2 linked regions of the Astyanax mexicanus genome follow. The protein of the gene in region 1 interacts with the protein of each later gene in a pairwise test. Links are inferred from orthologs where the notes say so. Each region holds a gene or a part of one and is shown in the gene's direction. Other genes may lie near its edges.

Evidence for each region. The genes of interacting proteins can lie anywhere in the genome.
Region 2: the proteins of bend7 (region 1) and eaf2 interact in binary tests that used the Homo sapiens proteins (3 or more experiments, as listed by UniProt). The two-hybrid records come from large-scale screens. The link is inferred for Astyanax mexicanus from reciprocal best matches to the Homo sapiens genes BEND7 and EAF2.

Annotation. Positions count from the first base shown.
Region 1 is NC_064416.1:15,392,786-15,399,642, reverse strand, and holds the start of bend7 (BEN domain-containing protein 7), read left to right. Parts: upstream 1-3,830; 5' UTR 3,831-4,144; coding exon 4,145-4,208; intron 4,209-5,670; coding exon 5,671-5,745; intron 5,746-5,912; coding exon 5,913-6,188; intron 6,189-6,857. Other genes in the region: prpf18 (pre-mRNA-splicing factor 18), read right to left, coding at 726-803, 1,940-2,005.
Region 2 is NC_064418.1:8,903,313-8,910,429, reverse strand, and holds the start of eaf2 (ELL-associated factor 2), read left to right. Parts: upstream 1-4,097; 5' UTR 4,098-4,221; coding exon 4,222-4,324; intron 4,325-5,356; coding exon 5,357-5,451; intron 5,452-5,539; coding exon 5,540-5,676; intron 5,677-6,363; coding exon 6,364-6,527; intron 6,528-6,847; coding exon 6,848-7,084; intron 7,085-7,117. Other genes in the region: naxd (ATP-dependent (S)-NAD(P)H-hydrate dehydratase), read left to right, coding at 388-476, 574-682, 782-832, 940-1,044, 1,199-1,319, 1,756-1,876, 2,127-2,277. UniProt on the Homo sapiens protein: Acts as a transcriptional transactivator of TCEA1 elongation activity. Acts as a transcriptional transactivator of ELL and ELL2 elongation activities. Potent inducer of apoptosis in prostatic and non-prostatic cell lines.

The DNA of each region.
Region 1 (6,857 bases):
ACTGAAACATTTTATTAATTTAAAAAATGTTCTACTGCAAAACATCAAAATTATACTGTTAGTATAGTGTAGTGTAGTATAGTGTAACACTTTAAACATACCGTAGAACTTACCATGAGTCTGATTTTGTGTGAAATAATAATATAACAAAATAATGTAACATACGAACAATGTAATGTACCACAATACTAAAGTGCTGAATATTTATTAATGCACATAAACTGCAAAAAAAAAAGAGTCATACAAAAAGCATTAACGCTTCACAGTATATAGAATACTTTTAGGACATAATACTACTATTATCAAAATCTAACTATTTATCTATGGGGTTTGTTAATTAATTATTTTTACAAATGTCTGTAAATGACAACTGCATGTCTAGGTATATCAAGGTACTTGCTTTTATACCCCTGAATTCAATAATTAAAAGTGTGTCCCAATAATGTTGTACTCTTGTCCATAAAGTGTATGTTTTTAATTCAAATATATGAGTGTAAATCATCGATAATCCAGTAAAAACCTTCATATCAAAAACTTCTACATAAACATTGTTTTACAATGGCATCACACAAAAACCCACCTGAAGCACCTATAGTTTTAAGAATGTAAGTCAGAGTATCTGACCAAAGTCAGAACCAGAAATAGACATCACCTCTAGTAAATGATTATTAGCTGTTATTTGTGAGAATTTAGTAAGAGATCAGTAATGCTGAGTGTTCACTAACCTTGTAGCCACATCTTTTGTAGTATTCTTCTTCCTCCTTTCGGGCTAGATCAGCACGCTTAAAGTACTTCTTTGAGCTCTAAAAAAGTAGAAGGGTAAAGTGTTATTATGACATGTTTGGGTTAGTGATAGACACAACAAAATAAACACTCAATAAATATCAGATCATTTAATATTAAAATGACTTCTGGGCATTTAAAATGGATTAAATCTGTCAACTGTTTCTATCATTTCTATCAGTTATCAAACCAACCTTGTCTAACCGTCTCTAAAAGGGCCAAAGACAGATATTAAACAAACAACCATTCTAACCAGATTTAACTAGGCCAAACCCTAACTGGATCTAATCGGGACAAACCAAGTTATCAAATCATCAAATTAGTCGACTCTCATTAGTTGCAGCCTTAATCCATAAAAACAGCTGTACATGATACAACTGTCTGAGCTCATAATCCTCCTCTCTATTACACTTGTTAATATAGTTTTAATATATTTAGTAATATGTTTAATGTAAATAAATCTAAATCCTTGCTTAACGTCCATTCTTGATTAATTTTAAACAATATAAACATTAGCTGGACTTTTTAAAGTAGCTCCTAAGGTGACCTCGTGTTGAACATAAATGTTTAATTAGATCTCGTTCTTTGGCTTTTACATCAGCTGGAAAACAACAAAATCGCCGGGTGCGTTCCAATCCGCGTTGTGTATCCACTACATAGTAGGCTACACGTATCTAGTGCATTCTAGAAAAATCGTAGGTCTAGTATGAGTTAAATCTAATCATATGTACTAGATACTGATAGCATACCAAATGCGTACTGGGACACATCATTTTATATGCGTTTTCTGAACAACTGAGTAGAACTAACGGGCTGTGAGTGGGTTTAGAACTCTAACCCTAGTGCAGTAGCTACCAAGTGTAGTTGAATCTAGTGAACAACGTAGTGTGCAGCATGCTAACGCTAGCTAGCTAATGTGCTAAATAGCAACTGGTAGCCTCTTAGTCCAGACTTTCTCGCACTCGCAGGAGTAACAATGTGAGTGTTCAGCGCTGATAGCTAACATTAATTTAAAAAGGAACCAATCAGCTAGCTAGCCAGGTTAGCTAGCTGGACAACACGCCACAGACAGATGCAGCTCAGATTGGAGCACAGCCGCCGTATGGAAAACTCCAGCGCTACCACCGTGAATAAAGAGCTTGTTTTCATCACTCACATCAACCAGCTGTTTCTCCTCCATCAGCTTCCTCTTCCTCGCGATCTCGGCTTTTAGGATATCCATGTTTATGAGCGCAGAGTAGCGGGTTTTCGCTAAACACGCTGATTTTGAATCCTACAGCTCCCAGACTGTTGTGGAAGTTGTATCCGGTGAGTTCCTGCCTGTGTTGGGGGCCGCAGAACGCGGTGGCGCTCTCTGGCGACTCCCACTGGAATTACAGACACAACCCTGCTACACGTTTTTATCATTAACACATTTTCTTTATCTGATGTACAGTTCCAGACAAAAGTTAATACACACTTAAAATACAGTTGTATTTTATTACAGCACACATTACCAATTTACAGTCAAAGGTTAGGTCTAAAATTAGCTATTTTCAGATCTGAATTATTTCCAGTAATGGAAAAAATGTAAGAATGCTGTTTTTGTCCGTTATGCACTAAAATAAATAATATTAGTAATATTCTACTATTAAATCTATATAGCAAATAAATTCTATTAACTAAAATATTTAATACTTTTTTATTTCTATTGAGCTTTTCATTTCATAAACCATCCCTGAACAGTAAACATACAATACAAAAGTTGGCATATGCTTCTTTATTTCAATTTTAAAAAGCATAGAGAGTGGAAAGCTCTTTTTAATTTTACATTTATGAATATAAAAAATAGCTAACATCCACATTAGAAGGCTTTAGTTTTCTCTTTTGAATATCTTTTGCAAACATAAATGAAAAACATTTTTGAAAAGTGATTCCAATCGATTTTCAAAAAGATTAAATATTTTTTAAAAGTGATTTGAATCGTTTGAAAAAAAAATATTTTCGAAAGATGGTTGCAATCAGTTCACATTTAAGCGCTGGTTTATGCTTGGCAGTGATTATATGCAACTGTGATTATTTGTATTTTTTTATATATATATTTCCATTTATCTTTGAAAAAAGTGACATTTGTGTGAAATCAGTGTTTATATTCTAGATGACAAAAGGATAGCAGATCTCCTGTTTTTATCACATATTAATATTTATTAGTTATAAGTCTTGGGTTCGATGTAAGGTGGTTGGATGTCTCTTTTATCAAAAAGAAAGCAGGATGGTGACGGATTACCAACAGATATTTAAACAAATAAACAAACCATATTTTTCTTTTTACTGTTGCAGTACTAGGATTTTAAATCCTAAAACATTTTAAAACTATTAAAATCTATTAACCATTTAGTTTATTATGTCAAATAGAAAGCTTATATTTATATAATTATGTTGTCCTAAATTTAAAAAGTAGCTGGAGTTTTAAAACCATTCACAGAGATACCATTATTGATTGGAGAAAGCGCAGTGCAGCGCCCTCTTTTGGTTCTGTGTGTAACTACATGCGGTTGGGTAATACATCACATGTGGTACAAACTAAGTTAAAACTGCCTGACTGGTGGTCACTTGTGGGCTGTTTTAGTAGCCTACAACAGTCGACCCAGGTATGTTGCAAGAAGATACCCCAGCTGGAGATATCAGTCTTATATGTTTCATATACTAAATGCTTCCCTGGACACACTGTGTAATTATTTATTTAAAAGACCATGATCATTATAGCTTTACAGTCTTTTTTCTATTGCCTATACAATGCATCCCATTAATCACACCAACACTGACCTGTTTAAAAAGGATAATGGAAGTGGAATTTGAATTGTGAGATGGATTAATTTGTTAGATAATCGATATCCATGTGAGGTCGAAAATGGATCAAACTTAAGAGAAAACTTAGTTTTTTTGTGTAAAAGTGGTACTTGTCCAGCAGAGTGGATCTGGACATTACTATTTGAGCCCCACAAAATATTAGCTACCATCAGGTGGCGCAAAGGACTAGATGTGACGATTTTTTTAAAGAATTAACTGATTTATTTATTTACATCACAAACGAGCGGCCCTGAATGGACGCCAGCGCGGAGAGCGCGATGCCCCGAGCTCAGACGCGCCTCTGACGGGCTTTGGGGAGCTGTGGCCGGGCAGGGAGGCGGTAGACGGGAGCTGTGGCCGCTCTGATGAGTTTTTACTGATTAAGCAGACGGACCACGGTCGGTCCCTGCAGGGCTGCTGCTGCTGCCACCGCCGCCGCCACCGCCACTGCCGCCGCCGCCACTGCTGCTGCTGATGAACAGGGCGACTCCGGTACCGCCGCGCGCGCACGGTCCGCTCTGTCTCCGGTACAATGGAGTTTGGGGAGAGGAGACGGAGCAGAAAATCTCCGAGCTTTAAACTGGTCAGCGAGCAAGGTAAGGAGGTTTAATGAGCGCAGCAGGGGCGCAGACAGCCAGCCAGCAACAAGCAGACAATAGGAGAGGGAGGGAGGGGGGGGGGGGGGGGGGGCATGAGAGAGAGAGAGTGAGAGAGAGAGCTGCACATTAACTGCATGACCACTAGCATGAAAAAAAAAACACGTCTGTGCTGAAGTGATGCTGATGCTGCTGAAGTGATGCTGATGCTGTTGCTATTGGAGATGCGCGCGCGCTTCCAAGCTTCCGTCTCCCGGGTGGTACCGGCATGTCTGACCGGTTCACCAGGAGAGATTATGATGTGACTCTCCGGACTGAGCCGTTTTAATCTCGCCGTTTTTCTTTCTCTCTCCCGGCTGCTTACAGGTGCGCACGAGACACCGAGTCGTTCTTCTGATTCGGTTCTTTTTTCTCTGAATTCCCCGAACCGATTCGAACTGAATCAACGTTTTATTGCATGTCAGAAATGAAAGGTCTGCAGAAGCATCTTATAGCAAGGAATAATACTTAAACTTATTCCGCTCCATGTATTATAGGTCATAAACTGAATAAAAAAGTGCAATTCAATATTTCTTGTTCATCTGGCATAAAAATTACATTAAGGAGAACAATTTTAAGTTTAGTTTTTTTTTTACAGAGTGCTGGTATAGGTAAAATGACAGAACCCTAAACGGTCTAAAGTAGAAAAACGAATATTTACAGACATAGTCTGATAGACTGTTCTCTATATTTCTTAAACGATTCCCTCAGTTTAGAAAGGATGATTTAGTTTAACCAAGGAAACAAGTTATTAAACAATTGATTAAACTTAGTAAATCAAGGAAATGCTTTAAGAAATCTAAATAATATTTTTATGTTTTGATACAGTATCAGTCAAACATTTGGAGTTTGGACACACTTTCTCATTCAAAGTTTGTCTTTACTTATTTATTTTCTACATTGTAGCTTAATGTTAGAGACATAAAAACAATAAGGGACACTATGGAATTATGTTGTAAAATCAAAAAAGTGTTTGGCCAACTGAGATAGGAGATTTGAGATGAGTTGGAGCTTCACAGCAGGAAAAGCAGCAGCTATTGTTTAGCACCCCCAGAAAATCCTTCAAGACACTGAGAAAACTATTCCAGGTGACTCTCCCTCATGAAGACACTGAGATTAAAATACTAAAAGTGTGCAGATCTTTTCTCTGTTCTTCTCAATTGGATGAGAACAAAAACTTCAAATCTACGGGTGAATCAATGATTCGTTGAAACATTTGCTCCATTGAAAGATTCAGTTCGAAAGAATTGGTTCAGTAAAATGAATCAAACGTTCAAGAATCTGTGTAATGAAGTTATGAAGCTTTTATGGAGATGTTCAAGCACAGTTTCATCCTTTTAGCATTTAGAGTTTCCTGAACCTGTGTATAGTGAACTAAACTTATGTTTAACATAGTAAATTAATAAAGAAACATTTCCCACAGACTATGGGCCTGGATTTGACAGCCCTGACCATGATGACACAGACAGTGAACCACTGGACATATCAGAGAATGAAGGTACTGTTCCCGATATTGCTTTTTATTTATAACTACATGCTGTTTTTACGTATATAGGGTAATTATACAGCATTTAGAACTAAACTAAACGTACACTTACACATTGTACACATTGTTTGTGTTGTAATATTATTTTACCACCTTTGTGTTAACTATTTCTCTTCCAGCCTGGCTAGGTGACGAGGGTACGGAAATTAAAAAGCAGATCACAGGTATGATGCGGCTGTTGAGTGACAAGTCTGGGCGAGGGTACCAGCGAGTAGAAAGAGAGGGGGAGGCTGTCAAAGAGGAACCCCAGGAGGAGGCTCTGAGCTGGACTTTACCTCAGAACCAAGCCCCTGAGGAACCCCAGCACTGCTGGAGCTCAGCTCCACCCATGTCCCACAGTCAGTACGACACTCGTTCCAAAACCCAGAAGATACTCAACAACTCCAAAAGCAGAGGTGAATCAGAATCACTCTGTTTCACCAGTAATGAGTAATATTACAGGCGTGGGTTACAGTTCTGACACGGAATGAGTCACAACATCTAAACATCTAAAATCTAAACATAAAAAATGTGTTGCACAAGTTTTAATCATGGGAAGTTTTCTAAAATCAACATAGGGTCCAAATTGTACATATAGGATCAAAAGATTTATAAAAAATGTATCTGAAAATTAATATGTTTACTTAAGTAATTAGTTAAGTAGACATTATTTTACAGAATGGTATTTAAATCACTATATAGACCAAATACCGCTAACAGGAATGTCTAAGACATTTGCAGAATCAGAAATCCCATTTTGGTCAGTTGGCATCTCCCAACCCGGTACATAACAGTGTGTTCATGTCCACATCTCTAGTAAACCAAGAACAAGAACGTACTGTGCTGTTATCACCAAGCTAGACACACTGAGATACAATTTACTTCTTGGGTTTGTTCAACAGAGTCTTCAGATTGAGAGATGCATACAAACAGCAGAGCATGGTGCAAAATGTGGCACCTTTGAAAATTAGATTTTAAAGCTCTTTCTCTGAGCAATATGTTTTTATTAGTTTTGTAAAACAAATACTAATAACTAATCAGCAATTCGTAAAAGCAATTTTTTTCAAGCATGGCTGCAAACTTTA
Region 2 (7,117 bases), on another chromosome or scaffold:
GTCAAGTCTAAAAATATGGAGATCAGCTGAATTGGACACTCTGAATTGCCCCAAAGAATTTTAATATTGTAAATTGGAAACTCTAAATTCCCCCGAAAGAATTGATAATCTAAATTGGATACTCTAAATTGGTTTATTGAATACTCTGTGTGCAAGAATTGTGTGCGAGAAGTTTCGGTTGAGAGTGTGCTGTGCACAATTGGCTACCGCTTCTCACCTGTGTGTGTATGTGTATAAATGGTTTTGAGTGAAATGTGTCTATAAGGCGTTCTTAGGTTTCCAGAAATCTGCTATATAAATGTATGGTCACATAAGTGTGTGGGTTTTTTGTGTGCTTTTGAAAATTCTGCAGCATTTTTTCTTCTTCTTCTTTTTTTTTTTTTTTAGGGCGCAGATTTGTCTCATGTGTTCTGCACCAAAGATGCCGCTACTGTGATCAAGTCCTATAGTCCTGAGCTCATAGTTCATCCTGTGCTGTGAGTGGATTCGTCTTATCCTTAGGTTGGTTATTATACCTTCACTAATAATTAGAGATGTAAACAATGAGAGTTTTGTGTGTTTTGCAACTTCCAGAGATAGTCCCAATGCTGTGGAGGAGATTGAGAAATGGCTTCCCAGGCTACATAGTCTGGTGGTGGGTCCTGGATTAGGGAGGGAAGATGTGATCCTCAAGGCTGCCAAGGTAGGGGGAAAGACTAACAACTGAAGGTTGTATATAATATATGGCATTAGTATTGTGATAATATACTCCTTAATACATTTCCTTGTGGTTTTGTTATAGGAGGTTATTGAAAAGTCAAAATCCAGAGGAATCCCCATTGTTATTGATGCAGTAAGTAACACATTTATAAATAAATGTAATGTGTATTTGTGAAAGAGTAAGTAAGTGGTAAAAATTCAGATTATTTTTTAAATCATGTTTTGTGTGTTTTCCTACAGGATGGGCTTTGGTTAATTGCCAAGGACCCTTCACTCATCCAGTTTTATCAGAGGGGCATTTTGACGCCCAACTTTATGGAGTTTACTCGTCTCTATGAGGCTATGGTAAGGGTTGTATTCATGTTTGATTTGCTTTGTTGTCTTTTGTTAACTAGCAGTTTCAATAGTCAACAATCAGTTATACTGTTGCCATGTTAATCTATAAAGAAAGCCCAACACTGTTCACAGAATGCTGAACTATTTCACTTGTTATTTTTAGCACCACAGGCCCCTGGACAGTACAGACCTCAAGAGTTGTGCCCAACAACTAAGCCTTGCAATGGGCAATGTGACCATTGTTTTGAAGGGAGAGGAGGATATCATCACAGATGGCAACAGAGGTCAGCATAAAGACATATTTGCACTCTCTCTGTGAGCTAAGCAGTGGTTCTCAAACTATTTACACCATGTACCACAAATGGCACACATGCTTATTTTTGCACAGTAAGATAGACGTGTAATCCACAAACATATACACATGTCCTCATAGCTTTCACAGACTGTTCTTCATTCTTCTGTTGTGTGCGGCTTGCCCACTCTTTTGCAGTCTGTAAGTTAGTATTAAGTTATTTAATTGACTGTAGTTTTTTGGTTAATACAGTATTTTATCCTACTGAGACTCTCAGAATCAGGATTTAGACAAAAGAAAACAATACACCAGTGTATTACCAGTGTAGACCACTGGTCTATAGCTTTGTTTATTTATTTATTTATTTAAGTTTAAGATATTGTTTGTTTATTTATTTATTTTTTTCTTTGGTGTCTCTCTTTCACCAGTGCTAAGCTGTATTCATTCAGGGAGCGGACGTCGATGTGGGGGGCAGGGAGATCTTCTCTCCGGTTCTTTAGGTGTCTTCGCCCACTGGGCAGTCAGCTCAACCCCAGATGCAACCAAAGGGTAGGGCTGGTTATCATTTTAAAATTTTAATTACAAATGCCCAAATTATAATTATTTATTTTTTTTGTTCTTCAAAAACCTTTTTATAAAAAAAGTGACAATTATTCTCACACAGCGTATTTATTTAATAAACGTCGACAACAGCCCTAGTCCCCAGTTTAATCACTGTTTGGAGTAGTGCACTTAGTTGGGTGTCAGTAATGTTTTAATTTAAATATGTGGGAATATTTCTCTTTCTCTCACTTGCCAGAATGAACCCTACGCTCGTGGCTGCATTTGCCGCTACCTCGCTGACCAGGCAGTGTAACAGGCAAGCCTTTGACCGGCATGGTCGCGCCACCACAACCTCCGACATGATCCAGGAGATCTGCACTGCCTTTAGGAAGCTGTTTGAAAGTTAAACTAGATGCAAACTCCACGCCCTGGGTGCTCAGTTTCAGTCCTGTGCAACACGTTTTTTCAGTAGCTCCCCTTAACGGAAAAAGGAAGCAGAGAAACCAGATGTACACAGCACTTGTTCACACACAGTTCTCAATCATCATGCTTGTCTGCTAAGTCCTTTTATAACTTGGGTTTTTTTTCCTTCCTTCCTTTCCTTTCTCTTGTCAACTGTGCTCCATTTCCTGCAGTCTTTTTTTTTTTCCTTCATTTTTTTATTTCATTGTGTTGTAGCGTAGCTGCAGCAACAACAAGATCCTCACAACTGATCTAGAGTAGCACTTCCAAGTTGCTTGTTTGTTGTCTGTTCATTGTCAGAAATGGGTTCTGGTCACAGGCAGACATTAAATGTTGCATTATTTAATTTGACCCACTGACCTTTTGGGATGTATGGCGGCAAAACTGTTATAAATTATTATGATGTGGCTGGACATAGTCCACTAAAGCCTGCCGACACCAAACAGCAACATAAAAAATGTTAATGTTAAAAATATTTAATATATATATATATTTAATCGCATCAAAACAAAATTGTATCAGTGAGCAAAACAGCACCTTCCAGCACTGGTATTGTTTTCTGCACTTAACCAGACTTTTATTTCAAAGTGCCTCTTTGTAGGTTTTTAATCCTGTCAACCACACCAGCCCTTTATCTCTCTAACAATGTTGTATGTTTTAACATACAGGACAGATGTTTTATATAATCAAATCCTACAATAAAATCCTTTATTGTATTTTCATTCTGTTCTATTGGAACTTCTGCAGTTAGAGCCCCATATCTAAGTATGATTCATTGACCGTGGTGCTCTTTGATATATATCTAAAGATTTTATTAGATATGTAGTTTGCCAATGTACACCCACATATGTAAGAAAAGTGGTTATTATTCCTTATTAGGGCTCATATATATGCAAAGGCCATGTCTAGTCTCATACCCTTGTGGCTCTAGAAGTGTATCACTGTGCTCTCAATATTACCACATACTTGGATGACATCTGTGTTCAACATTTCCATTGATTTTTATTGATTTACATGATCTATATGATTTACAGCACTTCAGTGTTTTTCTTATGCATTCATGCCATATTGTTTTGTATGTCAAATTCTTTAAAACCCATGTTCTTATGTTTTGACCTGGTCCCTTTTTAAAGTCATATTTGCAGGTCTGTGTTCATAAAAAACAGATTTCTTTAATTAGAAATCGTTTAATGTATATAGGTATTGGGTATAATTTGCAGTGATGAGTTACATATCTTTATGTATTCTAACTTCTTTATATATTTTGTCTATCTTTAAAATTGTTACAGGAAGCTATAATAAAAATAGATTCCAGTGTATGTGTGTTTGTGTGGATCTTTTGTTTACAAATAAAACCTGTAAGGGTTTTAGTGTTAGGCTTTTTTTCTGCCTGTATATTGTGTATAATCACATATTTATAGATGGAAGAAAGGCAGGTGATCTAAATTAAATATTAACATTTAGGATTTTATTTAATTATCTGAAATTTTGCATAGTTCTCTCAGTAATTAATTCGCTCAGTTTACAGTGAGATATATTGATTTTGTTAATTTGTTGAAGGTACAAAATATAAAATGTAAATATATTATTTAAAAGTTATGCTATAAAATGTATAAACTTAGTTAAGTAGCTCTTATATTACATATCTATCTTGATTCTTTAGGGGCTCAGTGTTTAATACATTTTTTTTAATTTGTTTTATATTTAAACTACCTGTCTGTGGTTGGTTGGTGAGGACTTTTATTTTGAAGAGCGCTAATGGGCTGAAAATCCCTTTGAGGACCGAGTTGAGTTGTCCGCGGCGCGCCTGAAGTGGCTAGAGTTACTTGCGCTGTAGATGGTGTGGAAAGACGTGGAAAGTTGGAATCTGGTAGAAAACTGGATTTAGAATGAATGGAACAGCTTACCCAAACTTTGACAATCAAGAACATGTTCTCAAATTAGGAGAAACCTTTGAGAAACAGCCAAAAAGTGCCTTCCATACGGTGCGATGTAAGTGTTCGTTTCTTATATCGACATTTAAACGAAAATATTATATTGTTAAACACATATATGCTACTTTACCCATTGTTTTATCGGTGTTTACTTGTTTTATATATACTACTAATTCTAAAAATGTTACTCGTGGATTTTCCTGTTTTTCTGAAAATGAATGTAGTTTAGTTACAGGCAGTTTGTGAGGCAGCTGGCGGCGAGGAGTCTAGTTAACGTTACCTGCTGGCTAATAACAAGTGTGTTAAATGTAATAAATAGCGTTTAATCCATATTTATATTGCAGTAATATTTACTCATAGTTTGTACTAATCATATTATTGATGTGGTTTTCTAGTGTTTGGGTTAATTTCTCTCTTCTGTTTGAACTGAACTGTTAACTTTAGACTGCAGTTCACCGTGTAGAAGCGCCCCCTGCTGGAGCTGCGGCTCAACTGCTGCTGAACTCCGCTTTTTTTATAAAGTTTAAACTAAGTTACAGTTTTTATTCACATGTATTTTTGGTATATAATGAGTCAAAATATCACGTACATTAAAATCTATCAATGTAGAAGCAGTTTAAAAGTGTAAACTTGTATTTACAACAATTTAAAGCCTAGTGTATCATATTTCACCCTATTTGCAACATTTGTTTTGCTAGTTAACCGAGTAATTTAATTTTTAACCCTTTATGCCACATTATTTTTATTTTTTTGGAAGGATAATAATAACCACCACTGCTTTAGCATTGTTCCCAACAAAGTGGTCTAGCTGCATAACAAAACCAAATGTGAAGTTTTGAGGCATTATGTGAAACCAAAAAAAAAATTTTTTTTTTCTATATATGTTTTTTTTTTTTGTTTTTTGTTTTTTGTTTTTGCAATATCATCCCTAGTGTAAATATTTAATTTGGTTAATTAATCACTTACATATACAACTTCATTGATTTGATTTCCCAATTTCATGTAATGAAAATAACAAATATTTTTTTCTTAGAATATGTGCTTATAACACTCCTCTCTGATGTCTGATGTCTGTATTGTGTTTTTGCAGATGACTTCAAGCCCGCCTCCATAGACACTACCTGTGAGGGAGATCTAGAGGTGGGCAAAGGAGAACAGGTCACTATAACACTGCCTAACCTGGAGGTATGTCAGATGTAGGTCTGTGTGTTCTACAGTAATTGAAGAGAATATAAAGTGATATTGTGTTAATATTACTCTTAATCCCTCACAGGGATCTACTGCTCCAGTCACAGTGTTCAAAGGGTCCAAAAGGCCGTACATGAAGGAGTGCATTCTTATTGTAAACCATGATACCGGAGAGTATCGCCTGGAGAAGCTTAGTAGCAACATTGCAGTTAAAAAGACAAGGTAGGTATTCTTTACCATAGTTGCGTTTCATTTGATTCTGTGCTAAATTATTATATAAAGTGATACAGGTGCAAAATCTGCACTGAAAGGCTTTGTCAAACACACTGTGTGAATGAAGTTACACTTATACACACAACCATTACACTCAGCACTCATTCACACACACATTGGTGAGTAGCAGCAGCCAATTGCACACAGCGTACTCTTAACCGGAAACAACTTTTCTGCATCCAGCACTGAGAAGCTGACCTAGCACAGAGTGCTAATCCATAGCTGGGCATACAATCATACACAAACACACCTACACACCAGGACAATTTAGAGTACCCAATGGTTATGGGCAATTTAGTGCACCCAATTGTTCCCAATTGTTGCAATTTAGAGTATCATATTGTTAGAGTACCCAAATGTTCCAAGCAGTTTCGAGTACCCAATTGTTCCCAAGTGTTGCGATTTAGAGTACCCAATTGTTCCAAGCTATTTAGAGTACCTCATTGTTCTTGGAAAATTTAAACTACCCGATTTTTTCCAATTGTTGCAATTTAGAGTACCCAATTTTTTCTGAGCAATTTAGAGTACACAGTTTACCTGATCTCCATGTTTTTGGACTGCAGAAGGAGACCGGAGTCCACAGAGGAAACCTAATAAAATGTTCGTCTTTCTCTCTCTTTCTCTGGCTACACAAAGGGCTGAGGGCAGCAGTAAGATCCAGTCACGTCTGGAGCAGCAGACCAATCGGCTCAGTCAGCAGATGAAGAGTGGCAGTGGAGGGAAAGCTTCAGCCAGCTCTAAGAGTTCCCCCCCTAAAGAGAAGATGTCTCCTGCGTCCCCGATGGATGATATTGAGAGAGGTAAAGTTTGTGCTTTGGCTGTTTGATATAAAAAAAGTACTTATTATATTCTTCAAGTAGAAGAGTGACTCTTATATAACAACTAAGAAAGTCAAAAATTGTATGAAAGCAATAGTTTTCAGAATGATCAATTTACTATTCACCAGGAGGGGATTTTATTACCATTCTGTTTGAATCTCCATTGAACAATTTTGACTTTTCACACATTTTATAAACAACAGATTAACTCTTCCAGTATTTTTATGGCGCAGAAGGTTCCAGCATGTTCATAGACTGCTCTTCCAGTTGCACATCCTCTCGTGTCTCCATATGTTGTGTAGAGCTGATGGCTGAGGCGCGAGTGATGGATCAGATGAGCAGTGGCGACAGCTCCTCAGACTCTCACAGCTCCTCATCGTCCAGCAGTGAGGACAGCTCCAGCAGCAGTGACTCGGAGGATGAGCGCCGTCCTCCGTCAAGTGGACACGGAACGGGCTCTGCCCCCACCCAGAGCATGCCCATCCTCACCACTCAGGAGCGCATGGAGGACGGGGGTGGACACCTCATGAACACACTCAGTGAGTATTACACTTCTCAGCGCTGATCAGCGC